Saccharomyces cerevisiae S288C: one gene and its partner. Changing the gene in region 1 together with any one later gene gives a genetic interaction. Each region holds a gene or a part of one and is shown on either strand. Other genes may lie near its edges.

Region 1 (2,593 bases):
CATTCAGCTGGTCCACGTAACGCAGAACTTCAAATTCAGTAGCGGATTCATCTAAATGAATGAAATTAGCAACAATGCCGGCCTCTTCAGCTGCCTTACGCTTCATGCGTACATATGTGGCTGAGTCTGGTCTGTTGCCTACTTGAATGATGGCAAGGTTAGGTGCAAACCCAGGCACGTGACCTTGAATGCTTTTGATTTCATTAGCAATATTGCTTCTAAACTGCTGAGCGCATGCTTTGCCGTCCAACACTTGACCAGCCATGATTTCTTATTTGACTTGTAAAGTTGTGTTCGTCTCGTTACCTGGTCTCACAACTTCAATTGAATGGTATCGCTATCGTTGTATTGTAAACGAGTCTATATATAATAAAAAGTTACGGGTTATGGAGAGCGCGTATATAATGAATGAATGACTGACCATAGTACGAAAGCGATAAAGAGGAAAAAAGAACAAAATTGTCACTGGGAGGAGTCATGGCAAATATATGATCACGTGCGATTGTGTAAACCTGTCAACGCCACAGATCGGGTAGGTAACCCGCCGTAACGCTCTCGTCGTCACCGTATACGGATTGCCAGCGCGAGAACCCCCCACGCAACACCCATAGACGACAGCGAGAAAGTTCCGCCGTGTCAAGCGACCGAAGCAGCAGCATCGCTGCAGACGGTCCGCGCTGCTGCGATAACATACAATGGAAAATCACGTTCAGCGCTCCGCGGCCGTCCGCTTGCTTTTCCAACAATCTGTGCTTTAGCTCACGTAAGTACTCCGGATCCTGCTTAAGGCGCGAATAGGCGTAGTGCCATCCGTCCTTGATATGGCCCCCCATATAATCTGAGCCTCGCACATCCACTACCTGGAAAGGCTCCCTCAGCGTAGTAGTGTGTCCTTCTTGCATCCAACGATGCAATTCAGTCGGATCCAGGTATTTTACGTTTGTTATTGAGTACGAGTCCATATTTTTTTTGCAATTGACTTCTCTTTTGCTTCTATCTGGCTGCACAGCTATCTATACTGTGCTGAAAACTGTATGTGCGGAGGAAGTAGAAAGGCTAGCGACAGCCAGAAAGAAAAAAATGGAAAAAAGGAAAGGGAAGAACCCAATAAGCGAAATGTGCATTACCCGTATTTGTCGTTTGCATGTAGGAAGAAAAAAATGAGTCGAAGACCTACCGTTATATAGTCATTCTTTTTCTTACGTTTTTACGCTTCGTTTCTTAACGCTTTTTAATAAGTATGAAATATATATCTGGTATTGGTTTTAGTACAGTTACCATTGTTTGTTTCTCCTGTTTCTTTTATTTTTTCTGCCGTTCTTGTATTTTTTATACCCATTCCCCTTTCTTGCATACGCCAGTCACTTTTCTTTATTGTATTGTTTAACTTTCAAATTTCACTCTTGCTATTCTCTCTTGGTAGTACAAAGCACAGCAGACACAAAGAAAAATGGCAAACCCAACAACAGGGAAGTCCTCGATTAGGGCTAAGCTTTCTAACTCATCGCTATCAAACCTATTTAAAAAAAATAAAAATAAAAGACAGCGTGAGGAAACGGAAGAGCAGGACAATGAGGATAAGGATGAGAGTAAGAACCAGGATGAAAATAAGGACACACAGCTCACTCCCCGCAAGCGTCGCCGGTTGACGAAGGAGTTTGAAGAGAAGGAGGCTCGTTACACCAACGAGTTGCCCAAGGAACTGCGCAAGTATCGTCCTAAAGGTTTCAGATTCAATTTGCCTCCAACGGATAGACCCATCAGGATATATGCAGATGGTGTTTTTGATCTTTTCCATCTTGGCCACATGAAGCAACTGGAACAGTGTAAGAAGGCTTTCCCCAATGTAACACTGATAGTTGGTGTGCCTAGCGACAAAATCACTCACAAACTAAAAGGTTTGACTGTGCTGACCGATAAGCAGCGTTGTGAAACTTTAACGCACTGCAGATGGGTTGACGAAGTCGTGCCCAACGCTCCCTGGTGTGTCACCCCAGAATTTCTACTAGAACACAAGATTGACTACGTGGCACATGACGATATTCCTTACGTTAGCGCCGACAGCGACGATATCTACAAGCCAATAAAGGAGATGGGAAAATTCTTGACTACCCAAAGAACCAATGGTGTCTCTACAAGTGATATTATCACAAAGATCATCAGAGATTATGACAAATATTTGATGAGAAACTTTGCAAGGGGTGCTACCAGACAGGAGCTGAACGTTTCTTGGTTGAAGAAAAACGAACTGGAGTTCAAAAAACACATCAATGAATTCAGGTCATATTTCAAGAAAAACCAGACAAATTTGAATAACGCCTCCAGAGACTTGTACTTCGAAGTCCGTGAAATCTTGCTAAAGAAAACGTTGGGCAAAAAACTCTACTCCAAGTTAATAGGCAATGAATTAAAGAAACAAAATCAACGACAAAGAAAACAGAATTTTTTGGATGATCCGTTTACTAGGAAGCTAATCAGGGAGGCCTCTCCGGCTACAGAGTTTGCCAACGAATTTACGGGCGAAAACTCTACCGCTAAATCACCGGATGACAATGGAAATCTTTTCAGTCAGGAAGATGATGAAGACACAAAT
Region 2 (2,819 bases), on another chromosome or scaffold:
CAAATTGGAAAACTTTGTGAAACTCCTTTTCGGGCAATCCAAGAGCGCCAGGGGCACTATTCACCGGAATATTTATTGTAGTTGGCATCTTGTAATCCTTTACTTCCTTGGGTTCCCTTACATCTACCAATAGTTTTTTATCATTGGGGTGTTCGACTAGGTTCCTGACCTGGTCAAAAGTATAGATCTTTGGAGCCTTCGTTGTAAATGTTCTCAGGACCAATGTAGGCGATCTTGCAGAAACTGTCCTCGAGAGAATACCTGTACTATGCTTGAACATCGTTGGTCTTTTTCTTCTGTCTCGCTTCCATTTGTTGAGAGTTATCGCTATCTTATTCCATTCAGATTAAGTTTTGTATTTTTTTTTTTATACTTCCTAATTTCTTTGCGCCGCCGCTATCACAGCCAATGCAATAGGCAAATATTATGAACGGTGTGACATAAATGGCATAATACGTTACTAGCTTACGAAAATACACAGGGTACATACCTAGAGTATACAAGGCTATAAGTCAAGTTTATCACCCCCATGAGAAACCCAATCATTCATAGAGCCAGGATATAGTGAGGTGTTTGAATATCCATGTGAGGAGGCGACTTTTTGAGCTTCTCCCCCGCGTTTGCCAGAAGCACAATAAAATATTAGCTCCTTGGCACTGTCAGGTTTTGGGATGCCAATCTGTTTCTCAAATTCTAAAGGATCTAAGGCAAATGCGTCAGGGTGCGATCTATATGGCACATTGATGGAAGCAGGAATATGAACAATCGAGTACTCAGATGGTTCTCTAACATCTACCAAAACCACATTAGGATCATGCTTTCCAACGATTCTTTTCATGTCTTCAAAACTGTAAGATTGAATATTTGAAACATTCTTACTTTGACTCTCGGTTCCATTCCAAGCATTCATCACGGCCTTCCACATTTTAATATCGTTTCTTAGTCACAAACCCTGAAAATAAACGAGAAAGAATTCTTTGATTGATTAAGCCTCCACTCTCTTTTATACACCTCAAAAATTCTCCCCTTACTTCCTTCCCCGCGGGTAATAATATTCTCCAAAAAAAATACAAAAGCAATCAGATGTAACTTATATAGGTTCCAAGATAAATAACAAATTATTTGTCATTGCAAGTAGGAAAAGGACATACCGTAGGTGATATCTGGATTTGGGCCTTATGGAAGCCAATCTTAGTAGTAATTCGTCCATATGTCTACCAAAGGGGATAACAAAAAAGTACAACTACAAATTTTTCACACAGTGTCCCGTTAATTTCATATACTCAATATGCTGCGTTTAATCAAGAAAAATTCTGATATTTTGCGACAGAAGGTGTCCCTGGAAAGCGCTTAGTATGCTGTATGATCTTTGAAGTACAATGCACAGGGAAATAAATCACCATATCTGACGATCATCTTGCTAGTTTCTAAGTTCGGAACATCTTGTCTATGCGCCAATAAAACTAGTTTTACATCGTACAGAAACACTGTCCACTTAGAACTGGACACTTGTTTGCCCAGTATAGTTCTGATACTATTATTATGTATAATTCCCTCAATATTAAGCACTTTATGCAAACGTGTTGGCCCATTGAGGCATTGATATACGGCAAGTAATAGCACCTTTTGCTTCTTACCTTTATCAATTTGGAAATAATGTTCGAATTCTATTTTATTTTGCAGAATCCTTAGTATATTTTCTTCGTCGAACTTTTGTACACTATTTAGCTGAAACTTCATAAGCTTTCCGCTCAAATTAACCTTTGCATTTGTTGATGTCTGGCTATTCATTGGGGATGGGACCGGCTGGTGAGTGGACCTCTTACATTGTAATGATTTGTTCCTTTTCTGTAAAAGTTGTAGAAACGCGTCGTAGTACTTCTGCAAGTCGGCAAGAATGGGTTCAATCTGCTGAACGTCCAAACTAAAATCCTCCAAAAGATGTCGCATTTGATTTTCAATCATTGACAATCTCTTTTTATAGCCCAATGTAATACGATCGGCTTCGACAATTTCATCTTCTGAGTACTCAACTACCGAATCGTGGTCCAAATACATCTTGCCAAATTTTGTTTGTTGCATAGTTTCACTGATATACAATTCACCTGAATTTACCACCGACAGAACATATCCATTTCTCTGCTATGGAGTATCAATGTAGTCTTGTTACATATTACGACACAGTTTTCTTTCCTTTAAAATAAACGCGTCGTTCTCATCTCATGTGAAAAACTATATCAATAATATAAAAACATAAAACCCCTATAATTTATGAACATCTACTGCATTTAGATAAACCCTTACGAACTATATGTTTTAAAATAAAATACACGCATGCGAAATTTCTATTACTACCTAAACCGCATTTCTAATACAAAATGAGAAAAACCCAACAGTGAATAACCATATAGTGTCTAACGTAATCTTAAGTCACTGACGACAAATTCGCCATCACCAAGATGTTGGGTGTTTCCGACACGTCTCACAATAAACTGCTTGGAGTCCTTGACGTAATCAACTATAGTGACAGAGGTGTTGAAAACAATGATCTTATGAGCTTGATGATTTTCATACTTTAACCATTGTAAAATCATTCTGATAGCACCTCCATGACTAACTAGGGCTAGATTCTTGACACCTTCATTAGATGCTTCAGCAACTTCTTCTTCGACACATCCAGTTAACCTAGCAACAAAATCGTCACTTTTTTCCCCAAAATTTCTAAAGGAGCCTTCACCATGTTTATCAGCATACTTTTCAGCCTCAGTAATCTGCATACCTTCAATAACACCCATATAACGCTCCCTTAACCCCGAAGT

What was found.
Region 2: of YCH1 (region 1) and RDL1, changing one enhances a phenotype caused by changing the other (phenotypic enhancement), as found in Saccharomyces cerevisiae (one study listed by BioGRID).

The regions. Positions count from the first base shown.
Region 1 is NC_001139.9:903,606-906,198, reverse strand, and holds YCH1 (phosphatase YCH1), read right to left. Parts: upstream 963-2,593; coding exon 516-962; downstream 1-515. Other genes in the region: trifunctional formate-tetrahydrofolate ligase/methenyltetrahydrofolate cyclohydrolase/methylenetetrahydrofolate dehydrogenase ADE3, read right to left, coding at 1-265; PCT1 (choline-phosphate cytidylyltransferase), read left to right, coding at 1,451-2,593. UniProt on the Saccharomyces cerevisiae protein: Protein phosphatase.
Region 2 is NC_001147.6:847,741-850,559, reverse strand, and holds RDL1 (thiosulfate sulfurtransferase RDL1), read right to left. Parts: upstream 926-2,819; coding exon 506-925; downstream 1-505. Other genes in the region: thiosulfate sulfurtransferase RDL2, read right to left, coding at 1-280; HUA2 (Hua2p), read right to left, coding at 1,351-2,082; YOR283W (phosphoglycerate mutase), read right to left, coding at 2,415-2,819. UniProt on the Saccharomyces cerevisiae protein: Thiosulfate:glutathione sulfurtransferase (TST) required to produce S-sulfanylglutathione (GSS(-)), a central intermediate in hydrogen sulfide metabolism.